Linked DNA regions of Lytechinus pictus. The protein of the gene in region 2 binds, or shares a complex with, the protein of the main gene of each other region. Links are inferred from orthologs where the notes say so. Each region holds a gene or a part of one and is shown on either strand. Other genes may lie near its edges.

Evidence for each region. The genes of interacting proteins can lie anywhere in the genome.
Region 1: DNA polymerase delta subunit 2-like (region 2) and DNA polymerase delta subunit 3-like share a complex: the UniProt entries of both Homo sapiens proteins name them as parts of the both the DNA polymerase delta and DNA polymerase zeta complex. The link is inferred for Lytechinus pictus from reciprocal best matches to the Homo sapiens genes POLD2 and POLD3.

The regions. Positions count from the first base shown.
Region 1 is NC_087260.1:25,102,387-25,109,749, forward strand, and holds the start of DNA polymerase delta subunit 3-like, read right to left. Parts: upstream 3,022-7,363; 5' UTR 2,597-3,021; coding exon 2,531-2,596; intron 1,195-2,530; coding exon 1,139-1,194; intron 513-1,138; coding exon 410-512; intron 6-409; coding exon 1-5. UniProt on the Homo sapiens protein: Accessory component of both the DNA polymerase delta complex and the DNA polymerase zeta complex.
Region 2 is NC_087254.1:6,787,831-6,795,244, forward strand, and holds the start of DNA polymerase delta subunit 2-like, read left to right. Parts: upstream 1-4,386; 5' UTR 4,387-4,972; exon of another isoform or gene 4,973-4,976; intron 4,977-7,414. Other genes in the region: uncharacterized protein LOC129269026, read right to left, coding at 1,250-1,348, 2,312-2,701, 3,503-3,728, 4,310-4,354. UniProt on the Homo sapiens protein: Accessory component of both the DNA polymerase delta complex and the DNA polymerase zeta complex.

The DNA.
Region 1 (7,363 bases), on a different chromosome or scaffold from region 2:
GTCATCTTTAGGAATTTAAACATGAAACAAAAAACATGCGAGATGATGATTATTCAAATACTGCATTAATCTACATCCATAAACACATATAGATTGCCTTTTTAAAAAGTACTAGACAATTATAAACTATAAATTTATTTTTATTCCTATCATGATATGGGTCAATGTAACATGTGCAGTACAGCTTCGTAAAAACAGGAGTCTTCCATTGGAGTGTTATGACATTTTTTATAAAGAGTTTGAAAAAGAATAATAAACACACCCTAAGTTCTAACACTTTCAGAGCCAATTTTCTTTCTACCTTTGCATCCACTACTGGGACTGACAATGTATCTTCCAACCTGATCCACAAGACCACAACTCAAAGTTGGTAATGATGAAATTACACTTGAATGTTCGATTTCGTTACCTGGGTTCCATTTTTTGTTTCTTGCGTTCCTGTGACTACATAGGTTACTCGTAATGTGGAAGATCCTTTCTTCTTCTGGTCAATAAAGAATGTCTCCAGTAATCTTAAAGATTGAAGAAAACATAACAGAAATTACTTGCAGCATTAATCAAAAAAGAGGAAAAAAGGATTACCAAAATGGAATTTATAAAGTAATGACAGACAACTATTAGGAAATGAAAAAGAGAAAGGAAGATGGTATCATCTATTCTTGATGATGATGGTGATGATGATGGTGATGATGATGGTGATGATGGTGGTGATGATGGTGATCATGGTGATCATGATGATGGTGATGATGATGGTTGTGATGATGGTGATTGTGATGTTGATAGTGATGAAGACGGTGATGATAATTGTGATGGTGATCATGATCAATGAATATGATACTGCTAATAATTATACCATGATGATGAGGAATTGGATGTGATGAAAATTACAATGATTGAGTGATGATTTGGGGGTAAAGCAATGAATATTAAGTCCCCATCCATCATTGCTGTTATCTTCATTTTCATTTCTTTGAAATGCTGTGTCAGGTAAGTAGCTTTGCCACATAAAGCATCAAACCTTCTGTATTACATTGTAATGCAGTTTAGTAAATCATCACTCTACTAAATTGAGCAAAATGAATTTACAAATTTTACACATCTAGGGAATTACAATTATTTATTATCTCCTTGTATTTACCTCTTTGCTAAATTCACATGAATTTCTAGTGTCTGACTGAGCCACTTGTAAGTCACCTGGAATTGAGAGTGTGAAAATGATATGGTTGGTTAAATGTGTAGAAAAATCATCATAGCATAGATCTGACAGTTATATCCCAAGTCTACTTTTAAGATACTAAAAATTCTTTCAATCACTATTACACTTACATACATGTAAAACTCATTTATTTGCTTTTATTTCTTTATGATATAATCTTATTATTCTTTTTGGCCTTTTTGAGTTTTGGGGACTTGTTTTTTGGGGAGAAACTGGCCCCAGCCCCACTGACACTGCACCTCCCCCCCCCCCCTTCCTGGCTACCCGGCTTGAGCTCGCACCATTTCAGTTAAATTGGCAAAGCCAACAAAGGTAAAGCTAAAAGGAAAGGCAGAGTTTAAGAAGTGCTGGTATAGGTCTCCACGCGGATTTCGCTCCTGTGCAAGTCGAATTACTACATCACAGAATTGTGAAAACATGGGTGATTTCAAGTTCGGTGTTGGTGTTGAGAGTGTAAAAAGGCAGCTGAACCGAGCTCCAACACCGAGCTGGGTTCAGAGGAATGATACCGATTGCGTTATCGATAGCACATGACGTCACGCCTCTGCGCTGCGCTGCTAAATCATCTCAACTTCACGCGACAAGTCTCGACGACGAAAATGAAATCGGAGAGAAATGCATTAAATTCTCATCATACAGAATACCAATGTTTTAAATTAAAACATTGGTATTCAAATTTAATTAATTCAAGAATTCGAAAGAGTGAACATTATTCTTCATCAAAATATATACAGCTCAAATGATTTGTACTCATCTTAAGCTGTAAAAGCTAATTTTACGAGGATGTTTCATCGTGTTCGCCGCCTGTTCACGAGCTTGAGATTGCCAATACCAACACCAACACCGAACTTGAAATCATGATTTGCCCAATCCCTGGGGGTTGGTGTTGGTGAATGGGGAAATTGCACGTAGATCGTCAACACCAGCCGCAGTGCTGTGTTCAGCAGACGACATTCAACACCAGCATTTAACACGAACTGCCGGAAATACGTCATATTTTCTGAGGTCAATCCCAACACCAGCCTGATTTCAAGTACGGTGTTGTGGCTGGTGTTGGTGTTGTCACAACACCAACACCAGATTTCAACACCGTAGGCCTACTTGAAATCACCCAATGTTGGACTTGGATATGTGTGGTTAAGAATCGCATGCACATACCGTATGGCATTTCATTCGGCACGGCGATGTAATCATATTTTTGGCACTGCACAGCACAGCCACAGGCACAGGGCTTTTTTTTTTTTTTCTTCAATATTTTAATGTATAACTACAACTTAGGATCTACGGGACTTTTACGGTACAGATCATACTCACAATTCTGTCTTCGTCGAGGATATACTCCTCTAAATTTTCGAGATACATGCTTGTCTCGCTGTCCATTTTTATTCAGGATAAAATTTTTGGCCCAGTGACGTGAGAAGGAACGTAACACACTCGATCTTGAATTGAACTGTGGCGCGCCATTTGACTGACCCTCTTCAACTTCCGAAGTTCCGGTTTCGATTGCAGTGCTGTCGCCAACAAAAGCGTTCTTGGTAACGGCCTTGGTTCAGCTTTTTTGTAAATTTGGACTGTGCACGTAATCAGGGTGAGCATAAAACGACTTATTTTATTTGCAATCCATAAGTTTCTTGTAGACTACCACTACCATACCATTTTTGTTGTTGTTTTTTTGCAGGTGGTAGGTGTGGCCGTGGTCGGCCAGCGTAGGCGTAGCCGTAGCGAGTAGATGGAGCCGGGCCCTATCCGCCGCTTCTCCTCCTCACCTCGGCTCAGCTGCGGCCGGCTGCGATAGCCTTCGCCTCGCAGCTCCTGGAATAAGCTTAGCCTTAGTTTAGTCTAGACCAAAAGCTTTAGTCTCTGTATTTTGGTTGTTCCACTGAACATTTTTTGGTTGTTGCGCGACAGCCAAAGTAGACCTTGTAAATTGTAATTAACGTTAAGTCACTGTTTTTTTTCCTCTTTAGTTTATCTTTACCCGTTTTGCCTTTTCACCTTTTGGTGCATTTCAGGCCAAAACGGAATACATCTCTAAGACTAAGTTAATAATCTAATTTTGGTCCAGTTCTTTTTATATTTTCATGAAAAAAGACAAAAATCGATGAGCCCCTTCAGGGGGATTTTGCATTGTTAACCCCCTAATGGCGGCTGCATGATCGCGAGCCGTCTGTGTACGACTACGAGGAGAATTAAAAAAAAATTAAATGGTTAAAAACTCCTCGAAACAGACACAGCTGCCAGCTGTCTACTCCTGGACGAAATGCCTGGCAAGCTGGATATTTTGTTTGGGCGGTATCAGGTTGTATGGCAGTGTATCCTATTGCCAGACACCTTTCTTTCACTCACTTCAGTGCTTTAAATTGCAACTAAGCCTAGAGGAAATACAATCAAGAAAAATTTGCACTTGCTATTCCAAATATTAAGAAAATTATGAACACGATAAAATTATTTTACATTTACCAACCATTTTCTTTGCATCACACTTGCCGCATACCCCTCCACAAAAAACAATTATTTTCGTGCATGGCAAATTACATCATGATTCCGGACGGATAAAGATATTCTTGATTATAATGATGTAAGAAAGATTTTTTTTCTCTCTACATCTTACATCTATTCCTAAATAGATGTTTGTCAGAGATTATTCCCTCAAACAAAGATGAGCAAAGGAAAGTAACATCTACCATGGATCACCACTGATATTAAATGGAAAATGAGGAAAAGAGACAGGCTTTTTAAAAGAGCAAGATGACAGCTTAGTACTGCTGCTTTGGAAACCTACAGAACTTAAGATTCAGGAATTATGTGGCTAAGCTTGTTCACAGGCCTGACTACGTGAACAACATAATTGGAACCAGTCTTGTTAAAAACCCCAAAACCTTTTGGTCATACATCAAAAGCTGCCGCTCTGAATTCCTTGGAATACCATCTCTACGCACAAGTACTAAGACGTGTGCTACAGCCAAAGAAAAGGCAGAGGCCCTTAATGACCACTTTCAGTCAACGTTCACTCTAGAAAGTAGTCAAACATTGCCATCTAAAGATAACTCTCAGTCTCAATACCCACCAATAGGGCACAGGTCTACAACTCCATACTTAGGACTGGTGTGGAAAAAGCAGTTGAGACAGCTGAATCCATCTAAAGCATGTGGTCCAGATTAAATCCCACCGAGACTCCTGAAACTTGTATCCCAAGAAATATCTCCTGCCCTCTCTTTCTTGTACCAGCAGAGCTACAACTCTGGTGTTGACAAGCTGGAGCCAAGCGCTTGTTGTCCCAGTACACAAGTCAGGTGACAAGAGTGAACAGTATCGTCCTATTTCACTCACATGTATACGGTAAGCTGTAAACTCATGGAGCATGTTGTCCTTAGTCATGTCTCAAAGCACCTTGTATCTAACAATATCCTGACGGATGCACAGCATGGATTCCGACAAGGACTCTCCACGGTCACCAAACTAACGTCAGCAATTGATGACTGGACCTCTGTCATCCAGAAGCGAGGACAAGTTGATGCTGTCTTTTTTGATTTCCAGAAGGCTTTCGACAGAGTACCTCACCAACGGTTACACTCAAAGCTCCTGTATTATGGCATCACAGGTGATACGCTCAATTGGATCATGTCATTCCTTACCAACAGAAGACAAGCTGTGGTAGTTGATGGAACCAAGTCACAATGGAAAAGTGTCACTTCTGGAGTGCCGCAAGGCTCTGTGATCAACCCGACTCTCTTTCTATTATTCATAAATGACATCCAAGAGCAGATAAGGTCAAGTATGAGGCTATTTGCTGATGACTGTGTAATTTATAGAGAGATTTCCAAAAGTACGGACCATCACGTTCTTCAACAGGAAAATCATCAAATCAGGCCCTTAATTCCGTCAGAAAATATTTCAATTGTTTATGCAAAACTATGTTGTGTGATATTTTAAGCATTTTCTGTCATTTAAAAAATAAATAAGGTATAAGTATGATTTTTTGCGACTAGCTTGTTTTGCAATCTTGTTCTGTATTGTTCTGTGAAATTGAACTGCGAAATTCTTGCGGTAAGAAATTGTTTTTGTACGCAGTATATGTGCGTCCGGAATCATAATAGTGTCCGGTAATACAATACGTGACTATACTTGTACTCAAGTACATGTATGGTAATGGATTATATTCTGATCACTTTTCATGAATTCATATTAATGTCATTATTCTCATAAAATTCACTAAACGTCGCATTCACCACAAATATCGTACCTACAAATTGAAAAGAATGGCTGAAATTGTGTTTCTTTTTTTACGATTATCAGCTTCTAATCGGACCCCTCTTCGCATGTGATATGTTTTGGTCACTTGAAAAAAGGTACTGTATTACCTAACGTGTGTTTTCTATGGGAAAAGTTGAGAAAAAAACATTTTTCAAATTTCAAACATAATTAGGGTAGGCAATGGCACTAGATTTGTGCTGTATACATGTGTCCAATTTATCCAATAAAAAGTCAATAGGTGAGTTGGCCCCAAAATTTCTTCCTACATTTTGAGTGAACAATGTAGTTAAATGTAGCGACATCTTCAGATTTTCTGGCAGCCAAGTTGATTCAAACAATGTGACTTTTTTCCACGGCTCCTTTATACAGAGGCTCAAACAGTCTAGGTCAGCATAAAGACTTTAAAATGCCATTATTAAGTAAAAGATTTTGTGAAATAAAAAACTCAAATTGTTGGGTGCGCAGATGATCTAGATGGGTATAACTTTAGCCTAGGGCGTTTTGATATTGATTTGCTTAGCATTGCTTTGCCTTTGGCTTTGGGTTGTTGAAGGACAAGTCCATCTCAACAAAAAGTTGATTTTAATAAAACAAGCTAAATCCAACAAGCATAACACTGAAAATTTCATCAAAATCAGATGTAAAATAAGAAAGTTCTGACATTTTAAAATTTCACTTAGTTTGACAAAACAGTAGGGAAAGGTGGGGTAAGTTGAGCATAGGGGCAAGTTGAGCCACCACCCCCAAGCCAATAATGAATGAGTCACACATTGTGGTGATGGCATGTATTGATGACCCATTACATAACCCTTTACCCAACCACATTGTTTTTGACTTTGAAACAAAAAGTACTTTTTTAGACGGAAAAATACAAATTTCAGCCAAAAAAGTAAAAAAGGGAGTAAAATAGAGGAGTGCTTTTTACCCACACACGTCTTTGAATATAATAAAGAAATAAGAACAATATTGTTAGTCCAAGTATGAATCTTCATTCTGTAGTATTTTAAATGATGGATGCATAAGAAATGTGTGGATGTGAAAATATCGCATTAAGTTCGGACTGGGGTACTTTGAGCCAGCCAACATGGGGCAAGTTGAGCCATGGTAATTCTTATGGTAATAAGAATAAAAAAATTAAAAAACCTTGAAAAGCCATTGATATGCAGGCAGAAAGGTGTAAATTATCATGACAGTTATTTTCTTTTAGAGGTTGTTAGTATTTATAGAGAATTAGCAAGTGAAAAGACTTGAAATAAAAATTGACATGCTGCTTCTTCCCGCATACATTTTGTACATAGTTTTTGTGGCTCAACTTACCCCAGAAGGTGGCACAACTTACCCCACATATGGGGCAAGTTGATCCATTTGACATCTTTTTTTTCAAAGGTCACAATGAATTTCAGTGTGGGGGTAGAAAGTTATATATAGGTGAAAAATATTTTCCAAGAATCAAATTTAAAGGCAAGGTACTTATTTCTACAATATTCTTAGTCATATCAATTCTAACATGCAAAATGCAAAAAGTGTCACAACTTACCCCGCCTTCCCCTACCGGTAATGCACATTAAGGTTGGTATGCAAATGAGCAGACTGATGACGTCATCCACTCTACTTCTTTTGTAGAATCTACTTTATTATGAATAATACTTGAGAAATATGAAAAATTCTAGTTTTCTCCTCATGACATTGCATTGTCATGTGCAACTAAATTTTATTCCTCTCTGAACATGTGAAATTACCATTATTTTTAACAGTTTATGGTCAAGTTAAGTTAAGTCAAGTTGGTCCTTATTGTCAAATCTGTAATAAAAATGGAAATATTGTATTATTCAAAGAATGAAAAACAAAGCAAAAAAATTGTGAGTGAGGGACATCATCGACTCTCTCATTTGC
Region 2 (7,414 bases):
GAAGACGACAAGAACACACTCGTCGAAACGTCGAGTTTGAGTGGTCCTTTTCAGGACCAACACTTGCCCAAGAAAGATACATGGTGTACAATGAAACCTACTACACTATTCTTCTTTGCCACGGAAACCTTCAGAAGTTACTACAAGAACAAACTTCCCGAACAATCAAGTTTGGGTGGTCTTACAAAGAGTTGCGATTGATCCGATCAATCACAACTATGGACAGCCATGCAGCAACGTCAACATCTAAAATGCATGAATGTTCAAAATGTTTTCTAGATATGACGTAAGGTACATAAATTCATTGTTTTCTTGACAATTTGGTGTGTTTGCCTTTGTTTACAAGGGACATTTTGCAAATTTTTTGTAGGAAAAATTATGACACTGATGGATCTCCATAGAGTTACAATTGATTGGATCAATCGTAACTCTTTGTAAGACGGGGCCCAGGGCTCCGTTGGATAAAAGTTACTATTATGGTAACTTTGTCATCCAGTCAGTGGCAGACCGTGACCCAGAGGAAACAAAGCATTGGAGGGGCACAGCATTGTTCACAGACAATACAGTGCCTCTCCAATCATTGTCTCCTCCGGGTCACGGTCCGCCACTTCATCCAGTGGTAACTACTTGCACCATGGGAACGCCGATCAACAGCTAATTAGAATCAAGGATTCCATGCAAGTTACCATTGGATTGCAAAGGTACCATAATGGTAAATTTTACGCAATGGGGCCCAGGAAGCCTCTTCACTGAACAATGATGCACTAGTGAGCGATGATCAAAGTTCTAAAATCGATAAGAAGACTTATGAAATTGACCATAAGAAAAAAAAAGTTGGTACATTCTCCATAAAGGACTATCAATAATAACAAAATAATATTCATATAAAAAAGGTTTTACTTAGAATACAGCATTTGGTAAAGAGATATTCACAATATTATTCATCACAGTCAAATTAATTTCAGTCTTTGATTTATTTATTTGCTGATCATCAATGTAATTACCGGAAATTAACTTGAATTGTGAACTTCATTATGAAGGTAGTATTGACCTTTAGAAGCGAGGAAGAAAAAAATAGCTAACTTCTCTCACAAAATGATACAAAAAGATAGGTTCAATTGGATTATCATCTCATTCGGTGCATTATTACTTTCATGGTATCTACATGTAGTATTCACAAATTTCATACAATATTCAAGAGCAGAGTACAGAGTGACAATAATATTACTTCATCCATTGAATTGCTCACCGATTATTTGTTTTCCACCATGTAAATGCACTATGTCCCAGGTTCCTATTTGGTTTAACGCATGCCTGGCCGATTCCATAGCACTGTATGATAACTGACCTAAAACAAAGAGAAAGAGATAAATACTGTACTTATCCAGGATAACTTTAATCTAAAGTGACCTTACTGGACCCGTTGGTAAATAATTCTGGTCAAATCATTGTTTGAAATAAACAGAGCTAAGTTCAAGCGTTGTGGATTTGAGTAGTCTAAACACTATCTGGAAATAAAAATTATAGACTTCAACAAATTGTATACTATATTTGTATATCGATTGTAATTGTGTACCATACTCAATCAGACTCAGAAGCAAAGTCCAGATGGTCAATCTTTATTTCACTGCATCTCAAGAAGGGAAATTAACTTGACATAAAGAAAATTAAAGAAATCAGAACTTATTGGAATAGTTTGTATACATTTACATTGTGATCAAAGCCTATCTTTTTGGTAGTATAGATACATGTTTACATATTTGTCTCAAAATCTCCAAGCATACATGTACTGTCTACTCTCTAGGATAAAGATATAGAATGACCAACACCAGAATTTTTTTTTTTTTTTTTTTTTTTTTTTTTTTTGGGGGGGGGGGGGGGGTACAAAAGAGACTTGTATGCCCCCATTTTTAAATTTTGTGGATTTTGTTTTTGCTTTGAGGGAGGTACAAAAGAGGCATATGCCCCATTTCCCCCTTTTGAGGAGTTTTAAGTATTATTATTATTTTTTTGGGGGGGGAGAACAAAAGAGGCATATGCCATATTTTCACCCTTTTGAGGATTTTCATTTTTTTTTTTTTTTTTGGGGGGGGGTGTACAAAAGAGGCATATGCCCACAATTCCCCCATTTGAGGATTTTTTAATTCTTCATTTTTCTTCTCTTTTTTTTTTTGGGGGGGGGGTGCTTCTGATTGTGGTGACCTTTGACCACATTTCTCTTTTTTTTAATAAATTTATCATCAACGAGTTCTTGCCAAGGTAAATCCTGGGTCCAGCCCTAATCTATGACAACTTAGATGGAATTATATACCTGTGATAAAAGAAGGGACGATAGACCCGGCCACCTTGCCTGTGTAGCTCGACTTCAGTGAATCCAGGAACAACGGGTACCTATCGGGGGTCACGATCTCATTCTCTTTCCACAACGAATTATCCAACTCCGATTTGGGATTCATCAAAACTACCCTGGAGAAGAAGAATTTCTCTGCCAGACAGGCTTCATTCCTCAGCAGATTGTTCCTGATTAGCCGAGTCTTAGATTTGAGTTCTTGGAGGATATTAGTGTGTGATTCATCGTAGGTCACACTTGATCGAGTGTTAGAGTCTTTGACGTTTTTTTGTCGGACCCATGATTTGCCGTTTTTGCTCAGTGATATCTTCCCAGACCAGTTTTTGACCTCAATGCAGTAGATTCCATACTCTGTCAAAAAGAGAGAATACACGTGCCATGAATTTGAAAATATCTCTTTCATCTGCCGATGTAGTACTAAATCAAACAATTTCTTTTAAGAACTCAATTATTCATTCATTTCATTATATTTTCATTCATCTTCATGTCATCTTTTATTTTATATCATTTGTATTGTCACTTTTTATTGATCTTTTTCAAGTTAAATAAAAAAAAAATATTACTATCATTATCATGGTACATGTATTTGTTGTTTATTTCTTATTTACATGTATTTATTGTTATATAAAATGGACATGTTGACTTGCAGCCCAAACTGGGGGTCAATAACTTAAAATACAATATGATTACAAGGCAAGTTTTTGCAAAATAACATATAAGTACAGTATACAGAGTTGCATTAAGAAAGGAAATCTACTTGCAGGATTTTTATCATTATTATCTTAAATATATTTGTTCTTTTTTTTTTTTGGGGGGGGGATTCACCTTTAAAACATTGCAAGGAGCAATTCCTAAGAGATAATATCTGCACATAATCAGATAATGCTCATAATTTGTGGGGAAAAAAGAGTAGAAAACCTATGATTCGTGAAGATGGTTGATGTACACAAAAGTATGTTCTCTTGATTAAAACCCCGTTCAAACAATTTTGAAGTGATCGAAACAAGTACAGTACCAGTCACCGAATCACTATTACCTGTTTCAACCAGAGAACAATAGATTTGGTCCACTGATTCTATTGTTCTCTGGCTGAAAAAGGTAATAGTGAGTCAAAGAATTGTGACTGGTAGTACTATTGAAGGAATATTTTACCTGTCAAAATGACAACATCTATTTCATATCGTCTCGTCTGGAATGTATCGGGAACCCTAAGACCTTGGTAGATGCACGAGGACGGCACCCCAGCTCTATGGACAAGGTCTTTGATTAGACTTTCTTCTGCTTGTCTTCCGGCTTTCACCGTTTCATCCTCATGATGAGAGGCCGGATTACTGGCCTCCTTGGCTTGAACTAAACGGCTGGTGAGATTAAACATGACCTGCAAGAGCACGAAAGGAAGAAAACAAATAATTAAAGTTAAGCTTTTTTGAGATATTTCCTGTCAGTTTAGAAATTATATTTAGGCTACTCATTTTCTTAAACATGATGTGTATGTGAATTGCCCCTGTTATGTTTGTAACCGAGATGTAAACCCAATTTTAGATAATGAATGAAAAAACAAACCACCAACAAAATTTATCAATATCAATTATCATAAACAATTATTGCTCCAATCAACTAAACCTAGTAGATCTACTACTATTTTTGTTTCAAAATTAAAAATAGTATAAACTACTTATCAAAGGAAATTCCTAAACCCTGCCTTACATATTATAAATATAGTTAAACGGAAAAAAAGAGAGGTAAAAATCATGAAAATTCCTGACTTGTCAATCAATGTTTACGAAAATATGAAGACAGTAATCAGTATATAAAGTCAAACTAATTAAGCTAGTATAGATCCTTGTCTGTGTCCAACAATTGGCAGGTTTGTGGAGAATGATAAATTGGAAACACACAGTCTAAGTCTAAAAAAATTACAATGCAAAAGTACCCTAAAAGTAAAAAAACTTAGCCAACCGGGGAAAGCCCATGGCCTTGGCAAAGAGACATTGCGAAATGCATTGCAATCCTCATCTTCATCATCGACTCGTCTCACTCTCAGTTCGTAATTCGAGCAGGCAGGCCGCAGGCAGCTGCAGTTTGTTCATGATCATGATAATAAAATGATTATACTTACGACTTTTAAAACAGAAATTGAAAATATAGCTCTTATTCGTTTTAAATCATCCCGATCTATCGTATGGTAACGTTTGAAGAGTGCTGAAATGCCTTATTTCAAACCTGTTGGAACAAAGAAAGACAACGATCGCCATCGACCAGCTGCGTGATGTAAACAATGATGACGTAACCACAAGGAACAAAACATTATTCAATACTATTTATTAAATTTCAATAGCTTTTCTACTCTATGGAGTCGAATATCATTTTGATGTATATCAAAAATATATACAATACATTAAATTATTTATTTAATGATATGAGAGGTAACAATTGATTTCGAAATATTATTCAAAACTATTCTTAAACAACGACTTTTACCAAATTACATATTGGACGCGGGAAAATCCCGAATTCGCAGAGTTCGCTTGATTAACCTATGGCTATGCCGTGCGATTAACCCCAGTGCGCTCCCAATCCTCGGCTCTCCATCTGGCATCGATTTGACGAAGCGTAGCTGAGGTAGGTACGTTAATTTGAAGTTGCGAATATTCAGAAATAATACCATATTTTATGATACATGATAGCTCATTCGGCCTCGCGATCGAGATTTTTAGGAATGGATAATTTAGCTTGCCTTGCTTCATAAAAATGCAAACATGAATTTCAGTAAGTGGGACTGCAGCATGCAGTGACTCTAGTTTTATTAAAGAAAGACAAGACTTCTTCTTCTTCTTCAAGCTACACTGTCTCCTTCAATCCTGAAGATTCTTGCAGTATTGTAGTACCGGGGACCGGCAGGTGCAATACACCGGGTGAACACCCTCCTCTTTGACGAATAGTGTTTGACTCACTTTGAGTGCACGAGCATGACGAGTGCGACTGAACCGTTAGATCATCTAATAATCTACTTTTTTTTGTAATTTATGTTTATTGATCCTTTTCATCAAAATATACATAACAAAACATTCATGATATAATGGATCACATATAAAACTAAGTTCAGATAACCGCATATAAAATAACATGTCTAACTCTAACTTAAGTAGTATAAGATAAGAAAACATATGACTAGGCCTATGTTTGTTTACAACAAAAGAAATTCAGGCACTTGGCCTGGCCTATAAAAAAATAAACATAACAAAAACAGCCTTCTGCTTTAACGCCTCTTTAAAGTATTCAGAATGATAGCCCACTTGCCATCATGTTTTCCTAATTTTCATTTCCTTTGTGCTATGGTATGTTCAACAGTTTCAAATGATAAAAGAAAGTTACAAAAATGGTGGAGAGTAGGTTTTGTTTCGTCACATCGACATCTAAATACATTGTTTACCTGTCAGGAGCAGAATGTTCAATATAAATATATTTCTGGGACTTTGGGGCTTACAGATACCAAAAAGAACATATCTTTCTGAGAGGAAATCAGGAAGATCTAGTGAAGCAAAAAGTGTACCAGTTAACATTATTCCAAAATTGGTTAACGTCGTGGCAAGAATAATAAAGATGCATTAGAGTTTCTGGTGATACTTTACAAAATGTACAAAGTGTATCTGTTACCTTGTTAATACGGAATAACCAAACCTTAGTAGGAATCAAATTATTAAGAATCTTGAATTGTAAAGCTCGAAGTCTCGTATTTATAGTAGTACGTAGAGGTAGTTTTAAGAGTTCTCTTACTTCTTTCTTGTTGAAGCCCATAAGTGTCTTTTAAATATGTAAATATATTCGAAATTGATGGGTTATTTTCCTTCAAAAAAATGTGTAAAAAATATACTTTGGTACACCTGTTACTTCTCTAGTGATGCCATCAATAGTTAAAGTTGGAATCAATAAAATGTTGTCGACAATGGGATGAAAGCTTTGAGATAGAAAAAATACTTTCCATTTTGATGGCATAAACTTGTAACAAATGTTAAGCCTTTATTTTTAGCATCTTTCCATCTTAGTGGTCTGCCATACTCATCCAACATATGTAACACTTTAACAAAACCTTTGTTTTTTTATCTCTGGCTTATGAAAAGATTTTCCATTTTGTAATATGCATCTATTATTCCATATTATTTGGTCACATATTTTTATGTTTTTTGAAATACTGTGCTCCAACTAATCATGACATCTTTATACCATTCAGGAATTGTCAGTTTTAAAATATTAAGATCATAATTACAATTAAATATAAAGTCACCACCTACATTTTGAAGCAGTGTCAACAGGATAATCTTCCATCCCTTTGAATTGGATGTCAAAACTCTAGATCTACTACTAACTGTTGATAGATCTAACATTTTGGATCTTTATTCAATATTGGAATTGAATAAAGTTGAACTGAACTGAACTGAACATTTCTAACACATTATATCTATCAAGGCCAGGCCAGGAATTCCAGAACATGAAATTAAATTGAGACTGAGAGAATAAACGTTGGAGACTAACCGTGGCGTTGTTATTAGATGATAGATCCAATGGCAATGCCATGGGCTATGGCAATGGATGATAAATGTGTAAAAGTTTGAAAACTGGTGAATGAAATGAATTAAAGATGCAATGGTTTTTTCATGGTCATGATTTTGAAATTAATCATATGGTTGATGATGATGGTGGTGCGGTGGTAGTGGTGGTGGTGATCATGGTGGCGATGAAAAAAATTATTTTACAAAGAATTTGGATGAGAGATAGACCTGGAAACTCATCAAGATGATGATGGTGATGATGATGATATTGTTTTTGTGTATTCAGATCAACTTAATTAGCTATTGACATCACAAAGTTATGAAAGTAATATTAGTAAAGTACATTTGCCTTACGCTAAGAAAAATAACCAAGCAAATTATCTAAAACCTCCAAAATGAGTAACAAACAGATTTCAGCTGTCAAGATTTTGATCACTCCAAAAAAAAAAAAATCATGACTGATGACTCTTAATCTTTTGGGGAGATCAAGATACTATTTACACACATGAATCAT